Zea mays: one gene and its partners. The main gene of each other region encodes a partner of the protein of the gene in region 4 in a complex. Links are inferred from orthologs where the notes say so. Each region holds a gene or a part of one and is shown on either strand. Other genes may lie near its edges. The genes, in order: 30S ribosomal protein S6, chloroplastic-like; 30S ribosomal protein S13, chloroplastic-like; 30S ribosomal protein S31, chloroplastic-like; rps11.

Evidence for each region.
Region 1: rps11 (region 4) and 30S ribosomal protein S6, chloroplastic-like share a complex: the UniProt entries of both Arabidopsis thaliana proteins name them as parts of the 30S ribosomal subunit. The link is inferred for Zea mays from reciprocal best matches to the Arabidopsis thaliana genes rps11 and AT1G64510.
Region 2: rps11 (region 4) and 30S ribosomal protein S13, chloroplastic-like share a complex: the UniProt entries of both Arabidopsis thaliana proteins name them as parts of the 30S ribosomal subunit. The link is inferred for Zea mays from reciprocal best matches to the Arabidopsis thaliana genes rps11 and EMB3137.
Region 3: rps11 (region 4) and 30S ribosomal protein S31, chloroplastic-like share a complex: the UniProt entries of both Arabidopsis thaliana proteins name them as parts of the 30S ribosomal subunit. The link is inferred for Zea mays from reciprocal best matches to the Arabidopsis thaliana genes rps11 and PSRP4.

The regions. Positions count from the first base shown.
Region 1 is NC_050096.1:303,985,871-303,993,860, forward strand, and holds 30S ribosomal protein S6, chloroplastic-like, read left to right. Parts: upstream 1-3,166; 5' UTR 3,167-3,281; coding exon 3,282-3,704; intron 3,705-4,351; coding exon 4,352-4,597; 3' UTR 4,598-4,721; downstream 4,722-7,990. UniProt on the Arabidopsis thaliana protein: Binds together with bS18 to 16S ribosomal RNA.
Region 2 is NC_050096.1:271,760,216-271,768,560, reverse strand, and holds 30S ribosomal protein S13, chloroplastic-like, read right to left. Parts: upstream 4,226-8,345; 5' UTR 4,109-4,225; coding exon 4,013-4,108; intron 3,419-4,012; coding exon 3,179-3,418; intron 2,899-3,178; coding exon 2,722-2,898; 3' UTR 2,483-2,721; downstream 1-2,482. Other genes in the region: uncharacterized protein LOC100281127, read right to left, coding at 160-258, 1,269-1,382, 1,485-1,976; gtk16 protein, read right to left, coding at 7,013-7,144, 7,859-8,029. UniProt on the Arabidopsis thaliana protein: Located at the top of the head of the 30S subunit, it contacts several helices of the 16S rRNA.
Region 3 is NC_050098.1:170,388,357-170,397,043, forward strand, and holds 30S ribosomal protein S31, chloroplastic-like, read right to left. Parts: upstream 4,061-8,687; 5' UTR 4,003-4,060; coding exon 3,807-4,002; intron 2,590-3,806; coding exon 2,525-2,589; intron 2,443-2,524; coding exon 2,311-2,442; 3' UTR 2,098-2,310; downstream 1-2,097. Other genes in the region: fructose-bisphosphate aldolase, cytoplasmic isozyme, read left to right, coding at 390-1,429; putative RING zinc finger domain superfamily protein, read right to left, coding at 5,350-5,560, 6,837-7,059, 7,193-7,259, 7,368-7,536, 7,741-7,820.
Region 4 is NC_001666.2:74,982-82,174, forward strand, and holds rps11 (ribosomal protein S11), read right to left. Parts: upstream 2,703-7,193; coding exon 2,271-2,702; downstream 1-2,270. Other genes in the region: petD (cytochrome b6/f complex subunit IV), read left to right, coding at 497-971; rpoA (RNA polymerase alpha subunit), read right to left, coding at 1,189-2,208; rpl36 (ribosomal protein L36), read right to left, coding at 2,890-3,003; infA (translation initiation factor 1), read right to left, coding at 3,104-3,427; rps8 (ribosomal protein S8), read right to left, coding at 3,507-3,917; rpl14 (ribosomal protein L14), read right to left, coding at 4,057-4,428; rpl16 (ribosomal protein L16), read right to left, coding at 4,538-4,939, 5,982-5,990; rps3 (ribosomal protein S3), read right to left, coding at 6,132-6,806; rpl22 (ribosomal protein L22), read right to left, coding at 6,868-7,193.

The DNA of each region.
Region 1 (7,990 bases), on a different chromosome or scaffold from region 4:
CAGTAAGGAGCACAAGTGAGGGGGACATGATGGATAGGAGAGGAGATAACAATGAGAAGAGGGTGTGGAGTGGTGAGGAGAGGCGCGAGCCACATCGTCGAGTGCGGGAGGGGAACCCTAGTGAGATGCATGGTTATATGCCCTGGTCGCGCGGGAGCTGAGTTAGGCCAGGCTTGGGAGCGCTCTCATTTTCGACCATTGTTCCCAAGCCTGGCTAGAGGGAGGGGTTGCACATGTTCAGCTGAAAGGGAAATGTGCCCTTGGGCCATTTCTAAGTATTTTGGTGATTGAGTGCCAACACAAGTGCTTAAATGTGAAGTTATGCTCATGGATGGACAAAGTGCAAATCAAGAGTAAAGGTATGTTTCTAAGCCTTAGTACATTGGTTTTGTGTACTAATATACTTGTCTAAGTGTTAGAAACAGAAAGAAGAAGAAAAGAAAAGATGTGGAAAAGGCTTGGCTGTGTACAGCCAAGACTCAGCTCAGTCTGGCACACCGGACTGTCCGGTGGTGCACCGGACAGTGTCCGGTGCGCCAGGCTGACTCGGCGTGAAGAGGTCGCTCTCGGGAATTCACCGACGGCGTACGGCTAAAATTCACCGGACTGTCCGGTGTGCACCGGACTGTCCGGTGAGCCAACGGTCGGCAGCGGAATCTGCGCGCGACACGTGGCCGGGCCAACGGTCGGAAGGGGGCACCGGACTGTCCGGTGTGCACCGGACATGTCCGGTGCGCCAACGGCTCCCAGATCCGCAACGGTCGGCTGCGCCATTTTAGGAAGGAGATCGGGCACCGGACAGTATCCGGTGTGCACCGGACTGTCCGGTGCACCCGACGACAGAAGGCAAGATTGGCCTTCCAGATTTGCTCTCAACGGCTCCTAGCTGCCTTGGGGCTATAAAAGGGACCCCTAGGCGCATGGAGGAGACATCCAAGCAACCTTAGAGCATTCTTGATCATCCACACTCAGTCTTTGCACATTCGTTTGTCATTCTCAGTGATTCGAGCTCCGTTCTAGTGAGAACTTTGAGATAGTCTTTTGAGCTCGATTCTTGACCGTGTGTTGCGCATCTTGCTGTGGATTTGTGTGTGTTGCTTCCCTCCCTTACTCTGTGCTTCTTTGTGAAATTCAATTGTAAGGGCGAGAGACTCCAAGTTGTGGAGATTCCTCACAAACGGGAAAAGATTAAAGTAAAGAAGAACACCGTGGTATTCAAGTTGATCATTGGATCACTTGAGAGGAGTTGAGTGCAACTCTCGTCCGTTGGGACGCCACAACGTGGAGTAGGCAAGTTTTGTACTTGGCCGAACCACGGGATAACCACCGTGTCATCTCTGTGATTGATTTCTTGTGGTTATTGTGTTTTGACTCCTCTCTAGCCACTTGGCAATTATTGTACTAACGATTAACCAAGTTTTTGTGGCTTAAGTTTTCAAGTTTCACAGGATCACCTATTCACCCCCCTCTAGGTGCTCTCATCAGCATAATCCAAAGATTGACCTAAACAACCAAACGGGGTGGGGTGGCCAGTCGGTCAAGGAGTGTGCATCACTAGTCTAGAAGCTCGCGCTGCCAGCCAACGAGGGCACACACTATTGACCTCACGGTCATGGTCCGACCAGCGATGGTGCGGGCACGAGTAGACAACGAGGGAGGGGCTCGCCATGGGAGGAGATGTCATGGTGAAGAAAGCGACGCTAGAAGAGAGAAGATGTGTGACGGGAGAAGAAGAGAGGTGGAAAAATTAGAAAGAATTGGACTGTAATCGATGGTAGTGGTCGATAACTTTTCTCAACTCTATCAAACTTATGTTGTTGGAGCTTCCATTGAGAAGCTTCACCAAGAGAGTGGATCTAGCCTTTAGATCCCCCATTTTGGTAAATATAAATTTAGTGGATCTAGATCGTTTGACAAAGTTTTTCAAAAATTTAAATTATTTTTAGTGAATCTCAAATAAACTCATACTGTTGTTTCATTTGATATGGCTCCTTTTAGAAGGGCTCTAGCTCCTTATTTTATTGTCAGTAGAGTACCTTCTATGAAGCTGAAGTTTTTGTAAGTAAAAAAATGGGCTATTTAAATTTGTACCCTTAGTTTTGCTTCATTCCTTATTTTTAACCTTGGTCGTGTTTTTTCTTAGTTTTGCCCTACTACTCTATAACACTAGAAGGACAAAACTAAGTAAAAAAACACGACTAAGGGTAAAAATGAGAACACCAGCAAAACTTGGAGCAAAAGCTTAAAAAATCCAAAAATAAAAGCCATATTTCAGCATCGTGTCTCTTTTATAAAAAATGACTTTGACTTTTTGAGCTCTACAAGGAGTTGTTTTCGGCTATTGGCCCCTTTAAGAAGTCGTGAGAAAGTAGAGTCGAAGTCCTGTCAAATTGACCTACAATAGAATGTCTTCAGACCTTCACACAAAGTTTTTCGGTGTTCAAATTCACTAGATCTTTTATCTTGGTCCTGTTTGTTTCGGATTCTAGCAGCTTCTGGCCACCAAAAGCTGCTGCGGATTGCCAAACGCTCAGCTTTTCAGCCAGCTTCTATAAAATTCGTTGGGACAAAAACCATCCAAAATCAATATAAACACATAATCGGTTAAGTCGTTGTAATAGTATGAATTCATCACTTTCTAGATCCTGAGTCCTATGAACAACTTTATTTTCCTCCACACGTAATCGTAATGATACTCAGATTCTCCCCACAGCCAGATTCTCCTTACAGCCAGATTTTCAGAAAAGCTGGTCAGAAAAAAACTGAACCAAACAGGCCCCTTATATCTCGTATACAGAGAAGATTAGGTCTACTCTATATTTAGTCAATTCAACTGTTCGAGATTTTTTTAAAAAAATATAGGTCCGCTGTTGATATTGTATTTTAGCTGCCTAAATCTTTGGACAGCAAACTTAGATAATCAATTAGTATAATTAAAAGAATAATTTATACTTTTTCTATGGGTAAATAAAGGAAAACATACATGCTGCGTATATGACAACAAAAGAATCATACACATAAAACATAGAAGAAATGCATAACTACATATAGTTGAAATACACACAAAGTTAACGTTGTAAACAATTTTGGTTTAACTGGCAACCCGGCCGTTTTTCCACCAATATGAAAATCCGTGCAAACTCCAAACAGGGCGTGGCGTCCTATCCTTATCTATCGAGTGGACGCGACGCCAACAGCGTCAGCGCCTCCTCCCGCTCTCCGGCTCCTGTCCTGCTCGCGCTCGTCGCCCCCCTGCCGCTCGGCTCCCCTTGGCCCCTCCAATGCCGCCACCCATGGCACTGCTGCCGCTCTCCTCCGCATCCGCGTCCGCCGCGCTGCCGCCCTTCCGCTCCTGCCCGCCCGCTGCGATGCTGCTTCGCCTCCCCTCCCCCGCCCCCTCCCATTTCGCCCGCCCCCGCGCGGTCTCCACTGGGTACGCGGCGTCCTTCTACGGCGGCTCGGCGATGTCCGCGGCCGGCGGCGCGGACGAGGAGGAGGAGGTCGGCTACGAGTCGGGGTTCGGCCCGGGGCTAGGGCTGGGCGGCGGCGGCCTCGGGATGTCGGCCGCGGAAGCCGCGCTGGCGCTGGAGGAGCGCGAGATGCCGCCCTGCCCACCCGGCCTCCGCCAGTACGAGACCATGGTCGTGCTCCGCCCCGACATGTCCGAGGAGGAGCGCCTCGCCTTCATCCAGCGCTACGAGGAGGTAATTTGCGTTTGCCTCCGCTCCGTTTGGCTGCCACTATAGCTAACTGGATGGATGGAGCAGCGTAACACGGGCACGGCTCGATCGGCTCACCTCTGCCTCTTGCATATCTCGCTACCATTTGCTGTTCCGATGGCAGAGAGAGCAGACAGATGATAATTTCTGGACAGGCTGGTATCATACTTGAGCAATGCGAGACGAATGTTAAAAGGGTTCCGAGTGTTTCGAATTTCATCCAATAAATATTAGGATTTCTAAACGTATAAAAGTGGATCCGCCATAGTTAATTGCCATCCTATCCTGAATTCACCATGTATGTTAGGCACTGTTTCTGTTAGAAACTCACTCTAGTCTAGAGCTAATCAGTTTGTTCACATTGAAGTCAGATGCTGCGGCGGTAATATATAGAGACAAGAAACCGTTTCGGATTAAAGACAGGTGAACAGCTTGAATATATAGCAGTAGAGGTTTGAACACCCCCTACCTAATAACTCAGCTAATTTGTGAGTTAACAATCAGTCCATTAGCTGGTTTAACCTAGCTAACAATTTGTTAGTTCCAAACGGGCCCTTAATCGCTGTTATCAGTCACATGCCATCTGCGTACCATTCCAATCCAGCTCAGCTTGGTGTTTTCCTGTGCTGCAGCTGCTCGTCGCCGGCGGCGCCATGTACGTGGAGGTCTTCAACCGCGGTGTCATCCCGCTGGCATACAGCATCAGGAAGAGGAACAGCCGCACCGGGCTGCCGTCCACCTACTACGACGGCATCTACCTCCTCATCACCTACTTCACCAAGCCGGAGTCCATGGACGCCCTGCAGCTTAAGCTCAACGCCGACGACGACGTCATCCGCTCCACCAGCTTCAAGGTCCGCCAGCGGAAGGCCGTCTAGTTAGACGGGTTGCCTCCTCCGCCTTCAGGCCCTGAACACTGTTTTGTTCACATACCATACTACAAGAAATCTGCTGTACAAGAATCCACCTTTGCCATGATTGTTGAGTTTTTTTTTTTTGAATATGTTTCTTGTCTTGTGGTTCTCGAAAATGGACGTCCGGCCATCGTTCGCCAGAGAAACACCGCGCCTCCTAAAACCATCATGTTTCATCAGGTACCAAAAATAAAGGTCCGTAGCTAGGTAGCGTCGAGCCTGAGCGCGCTCCGGGGATGGAGAACAGTCCAAACCCATCGTAAATCTGCAACAGTACAAGCATATACAGTGCAATTTGTGGAAGAGATTCGTACAAGTACAACTTTCATTTGATTTCAGAGGCGTTTAAATACTCCACACTTCATTCCCATTTAGCGTCAAGTGCGTTGGTGTTTCCAAATATTCATTTGATGAAAGAGATGTTCTCGGCATATAACTAAACAGTACGACACTAGGACATGACATGATGCAGAACGCAGATTGGCTTTCGGATTTCTCGAGCAGGAACAGGAAACTTCGGAAGATAAGACACAAAGCACAACACAAACCAGAACAGACGCCAGCAATCCAAAATCTGTCAGCCATGGAGTAACATTTAGTATCTCTCATGGCGCCTGAAATCATAAACAAATACCTGGGTCAGTCAACGATGTGAGGCACAAGGGTTTCAAATAAAAAAGTGTGCCTATTATTCAGCAATACCTGCTGCGCTCCCTGGAGCGTGAACGCTCTCTTCTCCTTGAGTCATATCCGCGGGAGCGGTCATAATCCCTATCCCGGTCGCGGTCATGGCGACGGTCCCTATCGTGACGCCTATCGCGTTCCCTATCATAATCTCTTCTTCCATCTCGAGACTCAACCCTGTCTCTCCTTTCTGAATCTCTATCCCTGGACGGCGGGCCGTTTCGATCCTTGCTCTGCTCTCTAGATCTAAAAGAGCCAAATGGGCATGCTTTCAGATAAGATGACCATGATGCTGATTGCTGACTAAAACAATGAGGATGCGGAATACAGAATACCATACCGCCTATCATCTTCAGTTTTGCCTGTCCTCCTTTTGTTTCTCTGCTCCTGCAAGATGCCACAGTGTATTTTGTTTATTGACAGTACAGATAATGATATTTTGGCATATTTAAAATCAGAGACAACGTTCCAAAAGATAGGGCGGGCGATACTTTACAGGCAAGGTTGCTTCAGCAAAATGTAACTTGCAAACTTATGGAGGAGGTAGCAGATAGAAAACAGAACAAGTTGTCACTTACAGCAAAATGTTGGCAAAAGAAGTGTGCTTTCAGGATAACTTAACCAGTATTATTTGTCACCTGGTCTACATAATATGGCTCAGGCAGTAAAAAGGCAACCTCCAGCTTCTGCCCAACAATCGATACTAAGCAGACACATGAGCAGTTTGTCACAATTAAGTAAACATGATTTTTTTCATACCATGGTCCGCACGCTCCTATGCTTACATTTGTCAACAGACAGTGACTGTTGTAGCCATAGGTATGAAGATCATCGCATGAGATTCCAATCACGCGACATGGACTAATTCCTGTAATGACTATCGTAATAACCATAGTGCCCGGCAATGTGAGAATCAAATAATATATAGAGGGAAGGTGAGAACCTTGAGGCTCTTGAGATAAGAAAACTCACAGATGCCAAAAGGCCCAAAACAGAGTAACTCTTTAAAGCAGAAAACGGTACATTACACTCAGCACCTGATAAATTGCACCTTTATAGATTTAGATTGAGGATAAGTGAATAAACCAAGATTATCGTATTCTGATGATGGCCAAACAGAATGTAAATTTTGTTTTATTTGTCTTTAAGGTTTGGAAACCTTGGAAGTATTAATCTGTTTCATAAATCTCCAGTGTTTAACTTCTACTTTGGGCATAGGCATGCAGGAATTTACCTGAAGTTCTTTCTGTTTGTCACGAATCAGCATGTAGCCTAGATGCAGTTTCCCTCCAAAATGGTCAGCAAGACGTCGATCACTGTTGAGATATTTTCAGCTTAGGATCAACAACAACAAAGCCTTTTATCCTAATCAAGTTGGGGTAGGCTAGGGATAAAAGCCCGATGGAACCCACAAGTCAAGGTTGATTTATCAAGGTGCAATTTTTAAACCCAATAAAAACCCAATATTTTCAGCTTAGGATAAATATTCAATTTGACAGCTTCAGATATTTTTGGGAATGCAAAGAGCTAGAAGCATTACTTGTCATATACACTCAGAAATGCTCCACATATATCACAGAGGCGCAACTTTTGATCGGTCTACAAATTAAACAAAGAATCATCAGTATGTATCTAGCATTGCATCATGATGAATAGACACAGATAATAAGATGAAAAATCTGTAACAAAATAGTGCCAACCATTATTCCATTAAACCATAAAAAGGCAGTGTAGACCACAAGAACCTCTAAAGAGTAAATTCAATTACATGTGCAAACCATTCCTACCAAGAAATCCATATCAATGTATGATGTAAACATGAGGCACATAACAACAGGGTCATTTGAAAACATGAGGCACAAAGGGTTGATGCTGAATAAGTGCCTTACAAACATTGAAACCCTAGATGTGTAATTCACGCGCTGTAAAGAAAATCATATTGTCGAGTAAATGTGCTGGTACATACATGACAGGAACAATTTTCCAGTGTACAAAGATTGAACTGTGCACTTAAAAGCTAAACTGACAGAGAAAGGATTCTACAACAATATCTGATCAGAACATTCAAGAAATATGAACTAGGCAAGTTAATTTACTTTCAACACACGATTGACTTATGTTTAAAATCAGTTTCCCCGTTAGATGATTAGGCTACAGAAACATATACATTGAATCTGACAATCTATTAAAAAAAGTAATCCAAGAATTATGTCATATTGTCGGCAGCATATAAGACACAGATTTGAACAGGCCTTTGTACCAGGGTTACGTCATAATAAGCCACAAAAGCTATCATCAAATGATGCTACAGAAAAGATAGACGACAATACTATGCAAACTAACGCTACCAAACAATGACAACTTAATTCGAAATAATTATTGGTTATATGGAATCTCACAATCCAAACATCAGCGGCAGTATATTTAGAAGGGTCTGAAGGTGGCTCCGGACGTCGCGCCAGCTAATAATAAGAGTCAAAAACAGGTTCCATCAGTCAGAGTTCATTAAACAGGATAAACGTAATAATGCCAGTGTCATAAACCCTTGTCTGAGACAGATCACAGCAAGATAAAAAACTACTGAAACTGGCTGTTAAAAGGAACTTTAAAATACTAGCTTAAGGTGCACATAGTAATGGCTATTTGGCTACCTTTTTCAGAGCTTCTGCCTCT
Region 2 (8,345 bases), on a different chromosome or scaffold from region 4:
ATAACACATCAGAAAGATCTCAGCCACATGCCACACAAAAGGTACAGCGTGTCGTTCCCAGATGAGAACTCTTCGCTTCATAACATAGAAAGGGATTGAAGAATGCTAAAGAGAGAGAAAAGCCAAAAGTACACCGCAACAAGTTCTAGCAAAAATTACCTGATTAAAGTAGGGCCAAGTTTCCATGTTTTGGGCTCTCAAATTGTCGGCGTTGATTGATTGGTAAATCTTCCCAAACGGCCTCAGATACTTTGGCCTCTGCAGTAGAAAGTGAGTAGAATTTGTCATTCCTGTAAAAAGAACTATAACTATTTTCTACTTCAGCAGCATGCCAGGAAGGCCGAAAAAAATATAAACTATGAACCGAAAGTCCTTTTCTTCCTCGAATTTAAATTCAAATTGCATAAATTCTACATACGTGAAGATTATCACTTGTTGCCAATTTACCACTATCAAACAATAAAGCACACAATCTTAAGAATTTCTACAGTGCTGATGCATGTATTCACCTTTAAGCTTATTAAAGCATCTCCACTTATCCCGGTGCCCTAAATTAGACTATAAAAACTCGATCTGCGGGGATAAGACAACCCCGGATATTATATTAAAAAGACCTTCTCACTCAGATCGAGAAAATCCCCGAACCTCTGCCCCACCCATTCGCAGCGACACCGTAGCTCATGTGAGAAACGACCGCGACCGGGACCGAGCCTTACACCCGTGCTTTGGCGTGGGACAGACGATGGGATTTGTTTAACCACAACCTAAAATTCGCTTCTATGGGGAGTCGATCCCAGAACCTGAGGAGTGTTACTCAGGCCACCTAACTAACTCTGTTAGAGGCTCTTTCGTCCTAAATTAAACAATAGAGATCAAGCTTAAAAAAAACTGCTCCAATAATACCTTATTTTATAAAAAAATGTCAAAAAATATAGGTCACCTCCTGAAGTGCCACAAATATATTGTATGTTATTGTGATGTCTCATGTCTAGATCTAAACGAATGGACACTTTATAAAACTTTCATTTCCATTCCAAACGAACATAGTAGATTAACATATTTATGCTAATCACTTGATTTGGAGCTTTACCGTTGGAGCTTGATTTTTTTTGTTGATGCCCTAAATTCTATAAATATATTTATTTTAAATTTTTAGGACATTTTTACATGGTAACATTGTTAGAGATGCTCTTAGAACCTATAAAAAAAAGAACTTACTTTTCAGAACTTCAGAACCTGTACATTGGTGAGGCAAAAAGGAAATGAACCTGTGGCTGCAGTATACTTGTGGAGGTGGTATAGAGAAGCTCCCATTTGCCGTTTAGGAGATCGGACTTGAGCGGCTCCTTCACCTGGTTCACCGCCTCCAGTTGCTGAACAATCTGAAGCAAAAAAAGAAAAAAAAATACACGTGAGTCTCTGCCATCAACCAATTACCAAATGCACGGTGCGTCCCTCGTAGCTACTAGTTTCTTCGTCCTCACCTGCTCGACGCGCTCCTTGTCCTCGGGCGTGGCCTCGGCGCCACGGTCCAGCGGTGCAATGGCGTCGAGGAGCTCCTCCTTGAGCCTCATCGCCTTCTCAGCGTCCTTCTCCCCCTTGTTCCCTGTGAAGAACGGCGGCAGGAAGGGGAAGGACGAGATGCCTGCTCTCCACCTGCCACCGCCATCCCTACCGCCGACACCCGGGGCCGCGGCGAGCGCGAGGCCTGGTGCTCTCCTGCGTTCGCTGCTCCGCGACGACGCGGGAAGTTGGGAGGAGGCGACGACGACGACGCTGGGGCCGGGGCTGGCGGCCAGCGGGCGCGAGGATCCGGGCGCGCACGAGACCGAGAAGGCGGGCGCCATGGCACGGCGCGACCCGGCACCGCCGCACGGGGAAGCGGAGGGAGACGGTGGAAGCTCGAGCGGGATTTTTGCGTGCGATTGCGGTGGAAGTCGTGTGATTTTCAATAGCAGGCCAGCAAGGCAGAGCATATCGCGTTTATTTGAGTGGTGGATAGAGCGCGCGGGCGCGGCGGCCCGGGTGCCGCCGGATGGGGGAGCAGGTGGTGGTGTCCGTGCACCGGTGCAAGCTTCGGCAAATAGCACACCACGGGATCACAAATTCACAGTCATCCGTCATCCGTGCTCTGCAAGTTGGGGGCTGATGAATGCCAGGAAACCTTAATGGCTTCAATCAAGTGATTCAAATCATCTTTATTTGAAACCAAACACAATTTAACCATCGTCCTTATCAAGAAAAAAAACATAACCATCGACGGGTAGCCAAAACTTGTTTTTTCAACTACATTTGTTAAGGGGAGAGATCTCGAATCATAACTCTTCGCCACATGATCATCTCGTGCAGGGATGAAAACAGGTATACCAGTGGCAGGTGAATAATCCCCAGAACACTGGATCTGGTAAATAGTAATTCGTCAGGAGCAGTCTGGACTCCTTGCATCGAGCATAGGTTGGGACAGAGGAATACAAATGGATGTAAACAAGAATTTGATCTTCATTTATAGAACCGACCCATATGAGCTAGTATGTCATTGCTACAAAATCTGCAGCAGCTGATGGCTACCCCATGATTTGTCAATGGCAGCATAAAAGCTCGAAACAAAACACCCAGCAGTAGTAGCGCTACACACACACACACACACACACACACACACAGAGAGAGAGAGAGAGAGAGAGAGAGAGAGAGAGAGAGAACTTCAATACATGGCAATACGATTTATTCATCCTGGGAGGCGGGTGACTTCTTCTTGGCAACTGAAGCCCTCTTTCCCTTAAGTGTCCGGCAGTTGTTCTTTGTCCTCTGGCCACGAACTGGGAGTCCAAGCTTGTGCCGGATGCCCTTGTAGCACCTAATCTCCTTCAGCCTCTCAATCGCCACACGGTTGAAACGTTTCTGTAAAGCATACCAAACAGCAGTGTGCCAGCTCTCAGCGTTTTCACTCCCTTGGAGTCCAACATCGATATAAAACTAAACAGTTAGGACAGTCAGGAATCATCTATGACTAAGGAAGTGAAATTAAATACGCAGACCTGCAGAATGAACTTCAAAGCTTTCAAGGAATCATTGATATGTTAACTAAGTAACTATGGTAACCATACAAGTCGTTAATCATCATGAACTACTGAATCAAATAACTGCAGCGAATAATCGACAAAGGGATCAGGGACGTTACAAGGTCTCCCTCAATCATGTACTTGCCAACCTCCTTACGGAGGGTGATGACCTCCTCCTCGGAGAGGTCCTTGGTGATCTTGTTATCGAAATTGAGGTCCAGGAGGATCTGGCGTGAGCGTGAGCGTCCAATGCCATGTATGTACTGCAGCGAGTACTCCACCCTCTTGTGGTTTGGAATCTCAACACCACCAATACGGATGCACTCGATCCGCAAGCCACCGTGACCGATTCCTCCCTTCTGTCAGGCCACCCAACATACAGCACAATCAAAAACCGCAAAATAAACCACCAACATGAGCCTGGGTATGAAGGGTCATTCAGATGGGGATAAATTAATGATGTATCGAAGTTCATGTTTGTGTCGTATTCAGGCTGTGCGCACAATGCAACAGCGATAATAAACAACAGCTCCTATAATCAGGTTCAGAATTTCAGATCCACATCAAAAGTCTAAAGAAACATCCTTTTCTTTGCTACTAGAATCAGTCATACTGCTGTACCATGAAACACTAGCATTACTGACAATGCGCTAGAAAATTCATATGCATGAACCAACACGCGCCATTTCCTACCAATGTATTGAAAATTAGCAGTTCACAGAAGACCATCCTTCCAACGCTCCTGACACGACCATCCCAAGTAGGCCTTGTTTTTGGATACTCTCGTATTCAGCACAATCAATATGTATTGATATAGATTAGAGTGAAACTAAAAAACTAATTTACACCCCATTCCAACAAGGCCGTACAGGGTTAGAAAAACAAGACACCCCAATCAGACAAGCTCCCTGGACGCAGGGGGGTATAGGGGTATAGCAGAAGGCGGCACTAACCTTAGCGGGGAAGGATGCGGAGGAGCTGCGGCCCCGGGTGGAAAGGGACAAGGAGGAGGGTGCGATGGGGACGGAGACCATGGAGAGGGTCGCCATTTTTGCTCTCCTGTGGAGCCGCGCGGAGGGCGAGAGGCCTGTGCGTCCCCGGTCTATCGGATAGAAAACCCAAGGGCGGATGATGATAAGGTTGCGTATGCGTAGGCAACCTTCGATGACCTAGTGGCCTTTCCCTATGTGTGTTTTGGACTCGTTGGCCCAATAGAAAATATAACTTTTTTCTACTCGTTCGTTCTAAAATAGTATTTCCTCTCTTCTAAATTAAAATTTATCTTATATTCATACAATATTTAATGTATGTATTTTAAAAGTGTCTAGATTTATCTTTATTCATTTAAATATAGACATAAACACTGAGAACTAAAACAACACATATATAAAGTAAACCCTTCAGATCTTTGATGAATCCAGCATTAGTCTACAACGAATTTTATTTTGGTACAGAGGGAATATTATTTAAGATGAGTATATATATAATGCATCAGTTTAAAATTTACAAAACCCACCAGGCAAATCATATACACACATAAGTACATAACCTCTATTGACTAGCCCTAAGGGCTAGTTTAGAAACTTAAATCTTCTCCTTGATTCCCGAGGATTCCCCTCAATCCCTAAGAACCTCAGAGGTGATTTAAGTTTCCAAACTAGCCCTAAATATTCCAAACAAATTATATCTAGACTTAACACACCATCAAAATCCATAGTTCATATTGCTGGATAACTCTCTCTCCCTTAGAGATGGCAATGGGTACCCGCGACCCGATACCCGATGGGTATTTACTCCATTAGGGTATGTATGTGGCTAAATATTCTACCCGTGGGTCTGTTATTGGGCAAAAATCTTCACCCAATGGGTAAACGGGTATTAGAACGTTCCGCCTTCACCCATACCCGTTAACCCGTGGGTATAAAATACCCAATATAAACTTAGCCCAAGTATGAACTTTGACTTTAGTCATCCATCTTTTTTACTATTTAACAACCTTTTAGGCCATAATGTCATAGAAGGCTTAACGACAATTTAATGACCATGTAATGTGCTATGTAGTATTATCCTAGTGTTACTACTTTATCCAATTATCTTTGGTGTGTTGAATGGATGGTTAAATGATACTAGAAATTTTGTAATGGTATTTAGATGGATATACTTGACATTTTTATCATATAATATTTTGATAGATGTTTAGCTTTTGTGGGTACGGGTGACCCGATGGGTGACCCATACCCACATGAGTAAGGGTATGAGGGTAAATCCATACCCGCCAGTGTATATGGGTGACCCGATGGAGTTATTTTTGTGTCGTGAGTATGGGTATGGGGTAGTAATACCCGGTGGGTATTTACCCATTGCCATCTCTACTCTCCCTTACTCAAATCCAATGGACAATATTATCTAGATCATCTATCACCCCTCCCTCCCTCCCTCCTCACAACCTCGCGGCCCTCAGCCCTCAGCCTTCCACTCCCTCCGCATCCCCGCCGTCGCTGTATCAACTCCTCCCCTCGTGCCGTCGTCGTCGATCTCTCTCCTCTATAGGATCATAGTGTTAGCATGGGCTATATGTTAGTTAATAATTAAGATGTCAGTGACACATCAAAGTGTATGTAAAAGTGTCAAAAGATTGAAAGCACCTCGCACAATAGATTCAAGCGTAAGGAGAAACGTATGCAAAAGACACAGTATGGTTTCATACTTTCATCGAATTACCAAGACATTGATGTCGAGTGAGTCGCAGCGGTATCTTAAAATGTATTTGTTTCCCTTCTAGATTATATAAGTTGGATTATGGTGGAAGGGTAAGAGAGTAAAATATCACTTTGAGACTATAAATAAGCTAAAATAAGCTAGTGTTGGGTGGCTTATTTTAGCTTTTTTGTGATCAAGGTAATATTTTACTCTCCTACTATTTCAGCATAATCCAACTTATATATTCTAAAAGGAAAACAAACAAGGCCTTAGGATGATAATGTTTGGTTTTTGTGTTTGGTTTAGGAGCCGGTTGATTAAAACGGAGCTAGCTTCCCGCTCCCTCTACACGAGCCGGATGATACCGCTTGATTTTTGTGTTACTCCTATTAGACCTACTAGGCCTTATTCGTTTACATCAATCTAGCTTTTGATTAGTATGGATTGAAATTAAATCTATGTCACATTTCATGGCCTAAAATAATTCAAGTCTACTCAAATTCTTTTATACGGTTAAACGTATAATAGATTATAACCTAAGGGTTTGAGAATTTTTTAAACAATGAAAGACAGATTCTATATATAGCTCGTTAGGTATGGAACAAATCTATAAAGATATTACACAAATTTATATTTATATTAAAATCTATGGATCAAAAGAATAATTAGCTTTAAGTGATACATGGATTTAATCCCATCATAGGATTAGATTGAGTGCAAGGTATAGATTCACTCAATCTAGAAGCGGATTAAATCTATAATCAGATTTCAAATCTAGAAGCGAATTAAATCTATAGTACGATTTCATCTCTTGTAACCGAACAAGTTCTTACCCGATGTCCCCTAGCATTTTATAAGACACCCCGAGGGCACGACAGCTCCATGCAGCGATGCCCGGCTGTTGCGCCCATTTCTTAAAACACAGTATTTTGATATTGATATAAAGTGCAAATGTGCAATGCAGAGGGCGATACGAAGGGCAAGACAGCCCCCCCCCCCCCCCCCCCCCTATGTCAAGATTCAAGAACTTCTTACACAGGATTCAGACAATAAGTATGCACAGATACAGGTCAATAATGAACAGGAGACATGCAGATACAATGATGGCATCATCTAGTATTAGAAAGCATTCGATTCGATTTTACATCTCTACGTATAGAATTGAAAATGTATACGATATCAAGAAAACAAAAGGTAAAAAAATCCTAATACATTTTGAACATCTAAAGAAAGTATGTAGATGCTCTAAGACATCATTCGTATGTTCTCTTCCTTTTCAGGATTGTTGGAACGACAACAACAGATCCAATAAGGAACAGAACCACTAATGTCTTGAAGTCATACAACTCTCTAACTGATTTCAGATCGCCTAGGGCTCTACCAGCCTGCATGACAATGACACGAAAATTATTAGCAAAAAAACGACTGAAAATGCTCAAAAAAGTATAATCAAGGAACAGGACCGTCAGGCTCCAAACAAAGGTAAGATTCGTTATTTCAATGCAATACACTGAGAAGGTTGGTAAAAGAAGAGCACTGGAGTTACAGTTACAGGGAAGCATAAAGTGAGTGAAGCGCACAGCTCAAGTGGTTTCTAGGTCAAGGAAGTAGCCTTTAGCGGTAAAAAAGGTAACTCTTCACAAAGTATAGTCTTAGAGGTTGCACGGGGATGGACAGTACGGATCTAACAAGGTTCCTACTGGTTAATTGGAATTAACAACAGTTAAAGGTAAGCAGTCCCCAGGCCCAGACACCCATGATGATGTTTGCTCATCCATCTTCTACTAAAGTACTAAACACAGAAAACTTCAAGGATATGTTAGAGGCTTGAAGCCATCAGCAAAGACATGCTTAGGCAGTTCATGACACATGTTATCTTTCATCTTCACTGATCAAACTTCAAAACAAGAATAATGTCATACATTTAGAACACTAAACAATGACGCATATTTGATACTCTTGATGTTTAAGCACCCAAGTCCATGTTTCAAGTGATTTCTTAACATACAACATGGACTTCGGTTCAGATTAATGATTCAATATAATCTAAAAATGAGTTAAACAATCATACCAAATCTGTTGTTAAAGAAGAAGATTACCTTTACAGTAATATAAGATGCTGGAATAAGACCAACTAGTGTTGCAGCAAAGAAAATATGGAAAGGTATGTCAACAATCGGTGACGCCATATTTATGAATGTATTGGGCAAAGTTGGAGTTATTCTCAGAAAAAGCATATAATTCAGCAGCTTTTCTTTCCTCTTAGCAATCTGCATCAAACACAATAGTATTTGTTACATAATCATACATGACTATAGGTCATTTTCATGGGTAACATATCATGTGCATCAATCATATTGCCATATTGGTGCAAGCGTGCAATCAAGTGATCTGATTTATCCAATCAAAATCCAACGGTGCCTGCTATTTTACATTTAACCCCTTCCAGCTGAAACCTAGTACCTATTTTACATTTAACACCTTTCATATGAAACCGTTGGGTCTAGATTGAATGCTTTAAATAGTTTGATTGCACGCTTGTACCAATTGAGTGATCGCACAGTGTATGTCCCCATTTTTATGAAA
Region 3 (8,687 bases), on a different chromosome or scaffold from region 4:
AATAGAGGGACTAGTTTTTATATGGTTGTTTCAAATTATATATAGCCTGTTTGTTCAATCTAAATATATTTGCCTGTTGTTTCATGGCTACTAGAATAGATGCTGGACGCATATACATCTAGGACAGTCAGATATGTAAATCGTTTAAAGCTTTGTGCTAGTCTAATCTTGATCTGTGGTTCCTTTTAGTCATGATGTTTATGCCGATACAATTATATATAAAGCAGTTTTTGGTTAATAAACAGTAAACTTCCTGAATTAATAATTAAAGTTTATTTTGTATTATTCAGGATGGCCTCCTGATTTGATAATGGAAGTCATTTTGTATTATTCAGTATAGCCTTGGTACCTGGTAGATAGCCATGCTTATTATGCATATTGTTTTGCAGATGAGCTCATCAAGAATGCTGCCTACATTGGCACCCCCGGCAAGGGTATCCTTGCTGCTGATGAGTCCACTGGCACCATTGGCAAGCGCCTTTCCAGCATCAATGTCGAGAACGTTGAGGAGAACCGCCGTGCCCTCCGTGAGCTCCTATTCTGCTGCCCTGGTGCTCTCCAGTACATCAGCGGTGTGATCCTCTTCGAGGAGACCCTGTACCAGAAGACCAAGGATGGCAAGCCTTTTGTTGATGTCCTCAAGGAGGGAGGCGTCCTCCCTGGCATCAAGGTTGACAAGGGCACCATTGAGGTTGTTGGCACTGATAAGGAGACCACCACCCAAGGCCATGACGACCTTGGCAAGCGTTGCGCCAAGTACTACGAGGCAGGTGCCCGCTTTGCCAAGTGGCGCGCTGTTCTCAAGATTGGCCCTAATGAGCCATCACAGCTTGCCATCGACCTGAACGCTCAGGGTCTGGCTCGCTATGCCATCATCTGCCAGGAGAATGGTCTGGTGCCAATTGTTGAGCCTGAGATCCTTGTTGATGGCCCTCATGACATTGATCGCTGCGCTTACGTCACTGAGACCGTCCTTGCTGCCTGCTACAAGGCGCTCAACGAGCACCATGTCCTCCTGGAGGGTACCCTCCTGAAGCCCAACATGGTGACTCCAGGCTCCGACTCCAAGAAGGTGACCCCTGAGGTGATTGCTGAGTACACCGTCCGTACCCTCCAGAGGACCGTCCCTGCTGCTGTGCCTGCTGTTGTCTTCCTCTCTGGTGGACAGAGCGAGGAGGAGGCCACCCGCAACCTCAATGCCATGAACAAGCTCAGCACCAAGAAGCCGTGGTCCCTGTCTTTCTCCTTCGGCCGTGCCCTCCAGGCGAGCACCCTCAAGGCCTGGGCTGGCAAGGTGGAGAACCTGGAGAAGGCTAGAGCTGCCTTCCTCGCCAGGTGCAAGGCCAACTCTGAGGCTACCCTCGGCACCTACAAGGGTGATGCTGCCGCCGACACCGAGAGCCTCCACGTCAAGGACTACAAGTACTGAGTTGCTTCTCTTTGCGTGCCCGTTTTGGAACTCCTGCCTACGAGCTAGGTTGCGGAGTGTGGTTTGCTCGTTAGAGCTTATTTTCGGACATCCAAAAAACATGCTTCCTATGTGGGATGATGGTTATCTTTATATTTGTATGTTAATTAGTCTCTTTGCTGTTAAATTTCGTGTAAGTTGGTCCTGCCGATGGAGAATCGAGCAGCTCCCTTTTTTTGTTCTATCAACTATGCTGTAATTCTGGCTATGTATCGGCAAAAACAATTCTATATGCTGAGTTGGAGTCGGCAAAAATTCATATATGCTGAGTTGGAGACAGCAACTTGTTTGGATCATATTTTGCTGAGACACTCGTGAGAGATTGGCATAGCAAGAGACCTGAAAGTGTTAGCTGAAGTTTGAAACAAAACTTACATCATTGCAACACATATTAATAACACAACACGATCATTAGTTCAGCACGCAAGATCTTTGCACATTGCTGACGTATGAATAAATCGCTAGTTGGATTTTGTTTTACCTGTTAGGGCTGGATTGTTCGGTTAGAAGAGGATTGAAAGAGATTAAATCTTATTAATCCCCTTACAAATGAAACGTGTAATCTCTCCGTTACCACTAGATGAATCATTTAATATCTTCTAAAAAAAACTTATTTCGACACAGTTTCATTTTGAAGAGAGTAAAGAACTCAGCAGCTGGAAAGGAAAATAAAGAACCCAGTCAGTAGTAGGAACATTACTAGCCAAATGAAAGTGTGGCAGCCTACCCATCGATAATTATAGGCGAGGAAATAATTACTTAAAATATGTAGTATTTGATTTGGTACAAACTAGGCCAATTAAGCTCAGGGCAAATATAAAGCAAGGCAGAACTCGGACAACCTATTCCAGGATGTCCTCGTCAATCTCGATTGAAATGATCTCCCCATCATCGAACTGATCCTTCCTTGGAGGAGCAGGAGGGGCAAAGAGCCGCGCAGGCCCAGTTCCCTTCTTCTTGTTGCGCGGCCTCGCCTAGACATGATCAGACAGCTAAATAAAACAGAACAGGGGGAAAAAACCAAAAATGCGATGTAAATTGTGCTGGAGCACTCACATTGCCATATGAATGGTTGAACCTTTTGCCCCTTTTCGTTTTCTTGTCCCCTCTCCCGCAGTAGACTGAGCAAGACCAGATAAAGTTTAAAACTGTCTGTCAGTCCACAGGATCATCAGTATTGATATAAACAGAGGCCAAAAGGGACAGCACCCCAGTTGGGTTCGTAGTACAATCAGAGAATAAAATCCTGAAGCAGGCTATGGACACTAGAATTTCAGAAATTGATTTCAAATTATGATTAACTAAAACTTCTTTGAAGTACACGCATGAGAAGCATCCATCTTTGACTCTCTGTATTAATAAACCAGAAACAAGTGTTTACAACAGCTGAGGCCAGTGGCAACAGAGACGACCAAAACTATAGGCGGTAGTGATAAACAAGAGATTCAGCTTCCTTGATTGGCACTCACTCCTGACACCGTGTGAAGTGAATCAGTCAACCGGTAAAGGTTTAATAATCTACTACAGTAGTAGTTTTCAGTTCATATATATGCTCCTGCTCCTCGATACCGTAATTTTTTCGTGTGGAACAACTTAAGCTCTTAAGAATCCAGTTTCTAGAAACTAGTTTATAAAAAAAAAGGTTAATGGTGTTTAGAATCACCTTAATTTTTATAAATTGATTTTAGCTAGAGAAGACTAGCTTCTTGGTTTTTTAAGAAACTAGGAATCCAATTTCTATAAATTAGTTTGGAACCACGTCAATTTCTATAAAAAAAACTAGGTGCTTCCAAACAGACCCTTAGGCCATGTTTGGAAGCAACCTAGTTTTTAAGAATCTAGTTTCTAACTTCAGTTTCTATAAAGTGATTTATAAAAAAACTGGTTAATAGTTTTTAGAACCACCTCAATTTCTATAAACTGCCTTTAGCTAGATGGGATTAGCTTCTTGGTTTTTAAGAAACTGAGAATCCAACTTCTATAGACTGGGACAAAAGCTAGTATATTTGGAACCACCACAATTTTCATGAACCAGTTTGTTAAAAACTGGATGCTTTCCTTGGTCAGTCTAGTTGACCCAGATCGACTAACAGCATCACAACCTCCATCTCTTCTGGGGAGTACATTTCAGTAATAAATCCCTTGACTATTTCATAAAAAGAAGAAAAATCCCGATTGAATTGGAACGAATTTCCCAAGTGTCAGTGTAATAGTAGTCATTGCCTTTTCTCCCTTATTGCGTGGAAAACAGTAGCCATTGCTCGTGACATGTGTTAGAAAGAAACTACTCCTACATCGGACAAAAACAAGGGGAGTGAGGAGGTAGCTGTTTAATTACCGTCAAGAACTGGAGTGACGGTGGCCGACAAGACGGCGCCGACGGCGAACGCAGCCCGGGCGCGGGGGAAGGCGGCGGAGGCTGCGAGCGCGTAGGAGGAGGTGGAGACGTAGGATGAGACGGCGCCGTGGTTGTGAGATGGGAGGGCCGCGGCGGCGGTGGACATGGCCATGCCCTGGACGGCGAGCAGCGCCATGGGGGCAAGAAGGAGCGAGCAAGCGCAGGGAAGAGAGACTAGTGTGCTCGGGAATGGTGGTGTGGTGGATCAGGTTGGATAAGGGATAAAAGGGCTCGCAGTTGGAGCCACAGCGCACATCTAAGATGGGCTGCAGGGCTGGTGTGGGCTGGGCCAGAAGTAACCTTATCGGCCATTACTGTAAAGTATGGTGCACACACCTAGCCAGGCCGTCGTCGAGTCTGGTCAGGTCTTGGATCCTTTTCTTTCTCTTTCTTTTTTTTGATAATTAATATAATTAAGATGACCAAAGCTTAGCTTTGATTCATGCTAACAGAAAACAAAACCCTAGATGCTCCAGCGTCGTTCTCCGGCCCGTGCTTCTCCTGCTGAGTTAGGGTTCTGGTCCTTCTCGAATCTCGATTTCGGCGGTGGACTGGTGGAGGCAGACACTTGAACCCATGGTGGCCGGCCTCACGGCACCACCCGTGCAAGGTGCCAGCTTTCCGGACTGGATGAGCTCATGGCTTGTGCATCAACAAACCCTGAGGGTAGGGTGAGCGTCAAGGAGCGGCCCCGAGCTGTCCCCCACCCCCGTGCAGGCAATTTTCGGTCCTGGAGCTGGAGTTAGTAGTATTTGGGAGCGTGTGGCTGGAGCGATTCCAATTCATTTCAGCAACCGAAATACCGAATGGAGGAGTTGCCAAGGTCACTGTCAGGCACTCACCTGTGCACTACTGTACAGCACAGATTGAACGGTCGCTATCAGGTTCATGTCAACCGAGCAGAGTTTCAGTTTCAGTGCCCAATCATGAATAAAAAACCGATGGCCAAAATGTAGTGGTGGGAGAACGCCTCAAGCAAAGTGCCTTGCACGGAGTGGAGACGGTTCGATGGCATGACCTGACCACATGTGTCTTCTTTCTTCTGGAACCTCTAGAAGGAGAGGAACGGATGAATCCTCAACAACGCTCACGATTATGAATGGTGCAGGTGGCCACGAGAATTGAAGACGATATATATAGAGCAGAGAAGTAGAGGCCCCCTGATTTCTTCATTCTGAACAGTCCGGCAATTCGCCAGACGAGAAATGTCAAGCTAGTATATTATATATAAAACCCGAGACATTTTCCTTCTTTATTTACAACCATTACAGCGAGCAACGCCACCATGCAATAAAGCCAGCGCAACGGCGTGGCATGCCCACGAGAGTATCGTCTGTTGGTCGGCAACGGCTTCGCTTTGCCAACTCGATCCGCAGAGGATGGTCGGCTGCGGGTAACCCTTGTCGCTTGTACGCCGCGTCTTCTTCCCAGACCCCCTTCCTCTTCCAGAGCTTCAGAGTGGGGGGTGGGGGGAGGAGCCTTGCTAGACTAGGTAGTCGTAGTAGACCAGCAGCATGTTGTCGGGGACGATCAGGGGCAGGCTGTCGATGAAGCTGAGGAAGTGCTTCACGTTCTCCTTCTCCAGCGTCACCGTGTCGATCACGTCGTCGTCGCCGGTGAGCACCCACAGGTCTCTGGACCGGACCCTCTTCAGGCTCCCGCGGCAGAACGGGCATGACTGGGACCTTGTGTACCTGCAGTCACGGAACATCCAGGTTACAGCGTTCAGCATTGGTGTTGCTTGGAACAGTACAGGATGGGGTCATTAAAACAGTTGGGGATGATCCCTCTTATCGCTACAACAATAGATGGGCCCAGTGGTCACCAAAAGAATCTACTGCAATAACCAATCCCATTGAGTTTATCCGTAATCTAATCTAACTCAAGCAACATTATTGTGAAAGCTACTATTGACTTCGCCAAACTTGGAGTGATGCAGCCGATTGATGAGTATCATTGAAACCAACAACCTGACATGTATCAAAACACAATGACTTGCAGATGACATCCTTGGTACACAAGCATGATCCGCCAGCTAAGAGAATACAATCATTTAGGATTTAGAATGCCACGTCAACGAGTGTCTCCCCTTTTATCCCTTTATTATTTTTTTGTCTGTAACTTAGCAGTTGGCTGGCACTGGTGAATAATGGTTTAACGACTTCATTAAAGCTACAACAGCACTCCCAGTTGTCTGCTTTCGATTCCGTTAATGGACCATTGCTAATTGTTGACGAAACGTGGGGGCTTTTTAACAACGGCGCAAAGTATCATAAACTTTGTCCAGCAAATCTCTGGCATTCAGCTGGACTGCTGGAGGAATGAAGATAATGAATCTCCTGACATGGCACATGGTCATTAGATCACATAAAATCCCTCCTAGTTTTGACAAACAGAAGGCTGAAAAATATAGAACAAGAAACACATGGACTCCCATGCCATCATGGTGGTAAAAAACAAATAGAAGAAACTCCGCACATGAGGGGAGCGAAGATTAAAATGGAACCCCCCTCCCCCCCCCCCCCCCCCCCCCCCACACACACACACACAAACACAAACATTCAGTTCAGGAGAATGTAGCATCTGAATTTGACTAAATGGAGGCTTTAAATGGTGAACATGAAAAAAGAAGTGCATTGGGACTATGATGGGTTGTTCAACCACCCCCTCCCCACTCCCCACCAACAATGAGTGAGTAGAAGTAGCCCACAGAGAAGTTTAAGAAAATCATTACTGAACCACCCTTGCGCTATCAAGAGTTCAAGACTGCGTCAATGCTTACTCGTTTCCTCGAACCTTATCTTTAAAATCGACATCACATTGAGTCTGTTCAAACCGCTAGCGAATTTTTTTAATGGTGGCGTGTGATATCGGGGCCCTAACTGATAACGATCCAGGCTCAGTCAGATATATTGTTGCTTAAATAATACACCCCCCAAACGGATAAGCAAGAGCGACAGGGAGCAATACCAGTCTCGGTAACAGTTGATGCACATGGCATGGTTGCAATTCGGAAGGACCATCTTGGTGCAGGTCTCCAGGCAAATGCCACACTCATCCTCCCTGTCATCTTCGGCAACAAGCTTCCGACCGCCGCCGCCGCCGGCGGCGGCAGCAGCAGACCACCCTTTGTCCTTGCAGTCCTTGTCCATCAAGTTGTCCTCCAGTTGTTGCAAGAAAGGGTATATGATAGCTGCATTCCATGGGGTCCCAAAACTATATTAAACCACTGCTGCAGCAGCAGCAGCAGCATCAACAAAAAAAAATCTTGAACAGAAAAAAAAAGCTTCTTAATCACTAGTTTCTATGGTGGATAGTAAGCATACTGTAGAATTCCTTCAGGCTCGCCCTCCTTTCTATGGTGGATATGGAGGCATCTTCATCGACATAAACCTGCGTGTTCAACCACCAAGACCGTGTCAACATTCAAAGCCTCAGGAGATACCAGTCAGTTCGTCGTGGATTCAGCAAACTCTCTCGGCAAGTGCTATTCGTCGGTACCTTGTAGACGAGAACCTCGAGCAGGCCAAGGTAGCTAGGGAGCGTGTATGACAGGGAGCAGCTGCAGTCCATCCATTGGATAAGGTTGAGAAAGATTGGAGCCATGGAGCTGTAGGACAGCCTCATCTGCACGCAGGCACCCCCATACGCCCTGTGTATAGCATGCGCCCTGGAGAAGAGAGAGGGGATTTTACCTATATTCATCAGTAAACGCATAGAACACGAGCCGAATACAATCGGGGACGGAAAACGAAAGGGCAAACTTTTCCCTACTCTACAGCTTTTCCAAAGAAAAATCAGGTAGCAAAGGAGAACGCCGAGAATCAAGAGAGTAGGAAATACAGGGCAAATTAAAAGGGAGGAGAGGACTTACAGGGTGTTGGCATGGTGGATATCAGCTTCAAGCGCCTTGAGAGACCCCCGGAGGGACAGAGGCCTGCCGCCATGGAACATGACTCCCTCTAGAACACAAAACGAAGCTCCTCTTCCGCTTCCTCCACCCCCCGCTATTCCAAGCTCTCAAGCCTATAAAAAACACACAGAGACTTGGGCAAGGCGCAGAAGGGGCGGGCTCGAGCTCAAGAAGCAACGAGCAAGCAAAAGCAAGGCAAGGAGAAGGCCAACAAGAAAAGAAACGATAGACGCAAGCTGCTCTGGTCTGGGTTTGTGGGAAAGTAGTTTTGGGGGAGGGAAACTGTGAAAGGGGGGCCCTTTGTCCCTCCTGCGTCCCCTTGGGTTTTTATATAAGCAAGGAGTGCAGGAGATGTCTTGGCAACTTGCAAATTGTTTTTGCTTGGTTTGCTTGACAAGAAGTGCAAAAGCTTTGGAATAAAGTTTGGGGGAGGGAAGGAGACAAAGGCTGAGGAAAAAAAAGCCTACACTGATAGAGGGCACTCATGGTGCTTAGATTAGGAGCAGTTATGGTGCCGTTCTGCTGTCTCCAAATTTCCACTCTTGCCCAATTGTTAAATTGTTTTAAGACAAAAAAATGACAAAAAATATATTGTAAGTGAAAAGCCTATACGAATAATTTATTTATATGATTTGGATTGTTTATTAAAATCTGGAACACAAAATGTTGCAGACGAGAAAGGTTCTGGAGCAGAATGAGAGAGAGAGAGAATGAAAAAGAGAGAATAATAGTGTGGATAGATTGATGACGGACGGATGGTGATAAAGGGTCGATGGACGGCTTGGGGTAGGGCTCAGATGACACGCAGAAAAAGAGGGGTCCGGTGGCGCAGGCGGCAGGTGGCTGGCTGAGCCTATCCACTAGCAGCACGGTGTGGGACCCGGCGCCGGTTTATGTGGGATCCACAA
Region 4 (7,193 bases):
TTTATTACACTTACTTTTTATTATAGTATGGAAATGCATTCATTTTCTTTGCATCGATTTTGATCCGCAATACTATCGGAGTAAAAGAAGGGATCTAAGGAAGAACGCAGGCTAAACTTTTTGATTTTTTATTAGTAACAAGTAAATACTTTGTTTGGACATAAGAAACTTGCGATATCGAGGGGATAAACAACAACTAATCAAGAGACAATCCACAAAGCAATTGATCATGATCAAATTTGTAAGCCCACTTGGATATTGAGCATTTAAGCATAAGAATAGGATTCTTTTCAATGAGTAGTTATAGGCGCAACTTCGGAAAAGATAATTTGATAAAGTTTTTCTTACCTTGAGTCATTGAGTCATTATATACCCCTATTCTATTGTGGATCCTCCACGGTCTTATTTCTTTCATTCTTGCTCGAGCCGGATGATGAAAAATTCTCATGTCCGGTTCCTTTGGGGGATGGATCCTAAAGAATTCACCTATCCCAATAACAAAGAAACCTGACTTAAATGATCCTGTATTAAGAGCAAAATTAGCTAAAGGGATGGGACATAATTATTATGGGGAACCCGCGTGGCCCAACGATCTTTTATACATTTTTCCAGTAGTAATTCTAGGTACTATTGCGTGTAATGTAGGTTTAGCGGTTCTAGAGCCGTCAATGATTGGTGAACCGGCGGATCCGTTTGCAACTCCTTTGGAAATATTACCCGAGTGGTACTTCTTTCCCGTATTTCAAATACTCCGTACAGTACCCAATAAGTTATTGGGCGTTCTCTTAATGGTTTCTGTGCCAACGGGCTTATTGACAGTACCCTTTCTAGAGAATGTCAATAAATTCCAAAATCCATTTCGTCGCCCAGTAGCTACGACCGTTTTTTTAATCGGTACTGCAGTAGCTCTTTGGTTAGGTATTGGAGCAACATTACCCATTGATAAATCCTTAACTTTAGGTCTTTTTTAGTTTAGGGATTTTTCGAGTTGATTCATTCCACCGCGAAGTCCCCTGCATGGGTATCTAGGAAATAGTTACTTCCAAGTGAATCTTCCCTAGATACCTAAAATCTATTTTATTATGATCCATTTCGCGAAAATATAGATTATGCCAAAGATGCCAAATTGCTTTCTTTTTTCTTTTTATTCTAACTCAAAAAAGAAGAAGAGGAAAAAATTGCAATGATTTAAAGCGAGAACTTGTTCTTAGGTAAATCAATTGGGAGATGCTTCTCTAGAGTGTCCCATATCAGTTTTCCATCTTCCATACGAAAACTATTAATTTGCATAAGATCTTCTTCAGTCTTACTCAAAAGGTCCAATAGTGTATGTATATTGGCCCTTTTGAGACAATTATACGTTCTAGAAGGCAATTCTAATTGATCAATAAAAATACAATTCAATGGAATTCCTTTTTTGTTTTTCTTTAGATTAGTGAATCTTTTTTGAAAGGTTAAAAGGGGTGGAGTTAACCTGTTTTTATTTTCTTCGAAACTAGTGCCCTCTTCCTCTGTGTGTAGAAAAGGAAGAAATAAATCAATCAAATTACGAGAAGCTTCATAAAGCGCTTCTTTAGGAGTTAAACTTCCATTCGTCCATATTTCTAAAAAAAGTATCTCGTGTTTTTCATTTCCATTCCCACAAGAAAAAATACTATAATTCACATTTCGAACAGGCATGAATACAGCATCTATAGGATAACTTCCATCTTGAGAGTTCTTTCTGAGTTCCGTATGATATGCGCGATCTCTCTTGATCTGTAACTCAATACAGAAATCAACGGGTTCTCTCAAGTTAGCTATAGGTTGTGTCGTATCAACGATTTCTACGGAAGGCGGTAAGATTATATCTTGAGCGGTTATGTATCTAGGACCTTTGACGCAAATTGATGCGTCTCTAACTCCATAGAGATTACTTCTCAATACAATTTCTTTCAAATTTAGTAAAATTTCTTGTATGGATTCTTCAATACCTACTATTGTGGAATATTCATGTGGCACGTTCCCAAATTTGGCGCGTGTGATACATGTTCCTTCTATTTCTCCAAGTAAAGCTCTTCGCAAGGCAATACCGACAGTATCCGCTTGACCTTTTCTAAGCGGAGACAGAATGAAACGACCATAATAAAGACGTTTACTATCTACTCTTGATTCAACACACTTCCACTCTAGTGTTTGAGTGGATCCTGTTATCTCTTCTCGAACCATAACAGACTATATTATTTGATCATTGAATCGTTTATTTCTCTTGAAAGCGGTTTCATTTTTTTTTACAGACGTCTTTTTTTAGGAGGTCGACATCCATTATGCGGCATAGGTGTTACATCGCGTATACAACTTAACCGTACACCACTTTTAGCAATGGCTCGTAATGCGGCATCTCTTCCGCTACCAGCACCTTTTACCATAACTTCTGCTCGTTGCAAACCCACTGTACGAATAGCATCTACTGCTGTTCTTTGACCAGCATAGGGTGATGCTTTTCTTGAGCTTTTGAATCCACAAGTACCTGCGGAGGACCAGAAAACGACCCGACCTTGTGGGTCTGTAACGGTTATAATGGTATTGTTGAAACTAGCTTGAACATGAATAATCCCTTTTGTTATTCTACGTGCACTCTTCCGTAAACTAAAACGGGCATTCCTACGCAAACCAATACGCACTTTCTTACGTGAACCTATTTTTGGTATAGCTTTTGTCATATTTTATTATCTCATAAATATGAGTTAGAAATAACAAAAAGAAAAAAGATACAAAGATATCCGTTTCAGGTTAAAATATATCCTTTACTTTCATTTTTTTTATTTGCAATTTGGGCATTTCCGTGGGTACTTTTTACTTTAATTAGAAAGAAAAGCTATTAGAAAGAAAAGCTTCTTTTTCGAAAGATTACCCCTGTCTTTGTTTATGCTTCGGATTGGAACAAATAACTCTAATTCGCCCACGCCTGCGAATCAGTCGACATTTTGTACAAATTTTACGAACGGAAGCTCTTATTTTCATATATGGGTATTCCTTTCTTAAACTATGAATCTATTCTTTTGGAAAAAATAAGTCTCTTCACTTAAATTTTGAAACTTGGAAGTTATTACCCCAGAAAAACCTAATCCTTTGAATCTTTGGTATCCTTCAAATCTTCAGTATCCTTCGAGTCTTCGGTACGCTTCGAATCCTTATGGGGAAGTCTATAAATTATACGACCTTTGCTGGAATCATAACGACTTATTTCAATTTTGACCCTATCCCCCATCAGTATTCGTATAGAACTAGACCGGATCTTTCCTGAAATATAGCCCAGGATGATGGTGTCATTCTCTAGGCGAACGCGGAACATTCCGTTGGGTAGGGCTTCCGTAACTAAACCTTCGAAAGTGACTTTTGCTTCTCTCGGGTTTTTTTTTTCTCTACTATTTTTTTTTTCTGTCATATATTTTTCTCCTATTTTTCTATTTTTATTTTCAAAATAGGAAGTTCGAGATAGAATTTGGGTACTATAGGTGGGGCCATTACCATATATAACATAAAACTTCTCCCCCAATTCTGTTTAGTCGAGCTTCTCGATCTGTCATTATACCTCGAGAAGTAGAAAGAATAGCAATTCCCATTCCGCCCAAAACCTTAGGAATTCCTTGATAGTTGGCATAAATTCGTAAGCCAGGTCGGCTGATACGCTTTAAAAAGGTTCTAGTTCTATATATTCCCTTTCTAGTCTTTCTCCTTTGATGTCGCAAAGTTGAAACCAAGAAATATCTGTTACTTTCCTGATGTTTCCGAACACTTTCAATAAAACCCTCTCGTAGAAGTATTTTAACAATGTTTTCGGTAATATTTGTGGATACTACTCGAACAGTTCCTTTTTTATTCATGTCTGCGTTTCTTATAGAGGTTAGTAAATCAGCAATAGTGTCCTTGCCCATAAGACTCTAATTCTAGGTTCCTCCTAATTTTTCTATAATCAACATGTTTTCCCTTTTCTTTAAATTTAGGATTTTAAAGCATATACGTGAGACAAAATCTACTAATTTTTTCTTTGATCTATATCTCGTCTACTAGTATTTATAATACTTCAGGAGCTAATGAAACTATTTTAGTCAAATTCAATTCTCTTAATTCTTCGGCAACCGCGCCAAAAACTCGAGTTCCTTTTGGATTTCCTTTTTGATCAATGATAACTGCTGCATTGTCATCATAGCGTATTATTATACCGTCGTCGCCTTTGAATTCTTTACGTGTACGTACAATTACAGCTCGAATTACTTCGGATCTTTCTAGAGGCATTTGGGGCACTGCGTCTTTGATTACAGCAATAATAACATCACCAATACGAGCATATCGCTGATTACCAGCGGCTCCTATGACTCGAATACACATCAATTTTCGAGCTCCACTGTTATCTGCTACATTTAAAAGGGTCTGAGGTTGAATCATATTATTTGGATTTCCATTTGTTATTTCAATGCAAAAGGATGAAAGAAATATTGTCTTTCCAGAAAGAAAAACCAGGGGTTTTTTATCTTCAATATTCCTTTTTGGGGTTCTATATCTCTAATCGAAGAAATTGACTTCGTATGGGCATTTTACTGGCAGCTATAGAGATAGCTGCTCTAGCTACAGTTTCGGATACTCCGCTCATTTCATAAAGTATTCGACCTGGTTTAACAACGGCTACCCAATATTCGGGGGATCCCTTTCCCGAGCCCATACGTGTTTCTGTGGGTCTTATTGTAACCGGTTTGTCGGGAAATATACGCACCCATATTTTTCCACCACGACGTGCATATCGTGTCATTGCTCTTCGTCCTGCTTCTATCTGTCTCGCGGTGATCCAAGCGGGTTCAAGTACTTGAAGAGCATATCTACCAAAACAAATATGATTGCCTCGGCAGGATTTTCCCTTCATTCTTCCTCTATGTTGTTTACGAAATCTAGTTCTTTTGGGGTTATAGTCGATGGTTCCTTCTTAGTTCCATCTCTACTACAAAACTGGACATGAGAGTTTCTTCTCATCCAGCTCCTCGCGAATGAAATGAGAAGCGTGCGAATGTCATTTCTCTAATTCCATAATATTCAAAAATATTATAGATAGATACACATCAATATATAATAGAAAAAGTTAGGTTTTTTTGATTTTGACTTTCTTAAACTTAAAAAAGAAAAATTAAATATATAGTCAAGAAAGAAGATCTAGAATATATCCAAATTCAATATTTATATAAAATGTAATCCTTCCTTTTTTGGAATCTCCTTTTTTTTTATTCTTATTGAATCGTGGTAAAGTATTCTAATCCAATAAGGATTTCGCGGGCGAATATTTACTCTTTCCTGTCTTATTTGTTAATTTAGAACCTTATCAAATAAAGCAATTTTGTGGTTTGTCCGCCATCCACCAATGAAGTGTTAGGATTCTTTCAATAAATCCTATGTAGTCATAGGTTTTGTCGTTCCCACAGCTTCTCCTTTAATGGTTAGGTTTGAATCCTGCAATGGAGCTTCCAATTTTTTTTTCCGAGTCAATTTTCTCAGTTTTATTAACCCGGCTGCTCTTTATTTATTGCTTTATATTTTTATTTGTTGTTTCAAAAGTCAAGTTACGATGAATTCTCTCTTTTTTTTGAGAATTTTATTATATTGATGCTTTATCACATTGCCTTTTTTTTATGATGAATTCATAGACCATACATATGGGAATCCTATATCTTTCTTATTCTTCTTCCTTCTATCTATCATCCCTCCTTTTATCCACTACCCTTTAGTTTTGCTTCATAGCCTAGAATCTGGTTTCTTTTGTAGAGAAAAAAATGCAGTTGCTACAACTATATGATAGATCTACTCATTTTTGATAGATGTATTTATTCACATAGTGACTGTTTCTTAGTTAGGATCTCGACAATACGAAGCAATAGGTTGGTTATTAGTTAATTTTCTATCATTACTAAGTTTTTTTCCATTTTTGACCCTAAAGAAAAAACTAACAGTCACACACTAAGCATAGCAATTATATTAAAAGATTTCTTAATTTTCATTAAATCTTATAGAAAGAGGGATACTTCTTCTTTTTTTTAGGGATTTTTGGAAAAACAAGGTTTTGTCTTTTTTATTCTATCACTGGCGGAATGGGAAGACATGGTTAGTTATTCTTCTTCTACGAATATCCAAATTTTGACACCTAATACTCCATAGATAGTTCGAATTGGATAGCAGCAATAATCAATTTTAGCGCGAATTGTTTGGAGGGGTAGTCTACCCTTTTTGATGCATTCGGCACGTGCAATTTCTTTTCCTGCTAGACGACCCGCAATTTGGATTTTTATTCCCTTTATATCCGCTTTTTTAGTTAATTCAATAGCTTTTTTCATTGCTTTTCGGAATGAAACTCTATTTTTTAATTGGAAAGCTATATATTCCGCAAGAATATTAGGTTGTCTATAAGGTTCTTTAACCTTTTCGATAGCAATATTAAGTCTCTGGTTTACAGAATTAACTTCCTTTTGGAGATCTTTCTCTAATTCTTCGATTGCTCCCTTTTTCTTTAATAAGTTGGGGAATCCAATATGGATTATGACGTGGATTGTATCGATTTCTTTTTGAATTTCTATATGTGTAATTACTTCAGAACTTGAGTCTGATTCCATTTTTCTATTCGAGCCTTTTTTCCTATTCTTTTGTATATAGTTCTTGATACAATTCCGTATTTTTTTATCTTCCTGTAGACCTTCAGAATAATTTTTTGGTTGTGCGAACCAAAAGGAATGGTGATTTTGGGTTGTACCAAGTCTGAAACCGAGTGGATTTATTTTTTGTCCCATATTTTTCTATTATATTTCTTTTTTTTTTACTGGGAATCGAAATCTTAGATTGATCTAAAGATTATTTTGATTTCTTTACTATATTTAGTACAATTGTTATATTACACATCGTTTTTTTTATAGAATAACTACGTCCTCGAGCTCGAGGTCTGAATTTTTTCATAATAGTACTCCTACTGACTTCGGCTTTAGTGATGAATAAATTCGTTTTGTCGAAATCCCTATAATGAGTAGCATTTGCTGCTGCCGAATAAACCAACTTTAAGATGGGATACGATGCTCGATAAGGCATGAGATTCAGTATCATAACGGTTTCCTCGTAGTAACGCCAGCGAATCTCATCTAGAACTCTTTGTGCTTTGAAAACAGACATATGTATGCGTTTTT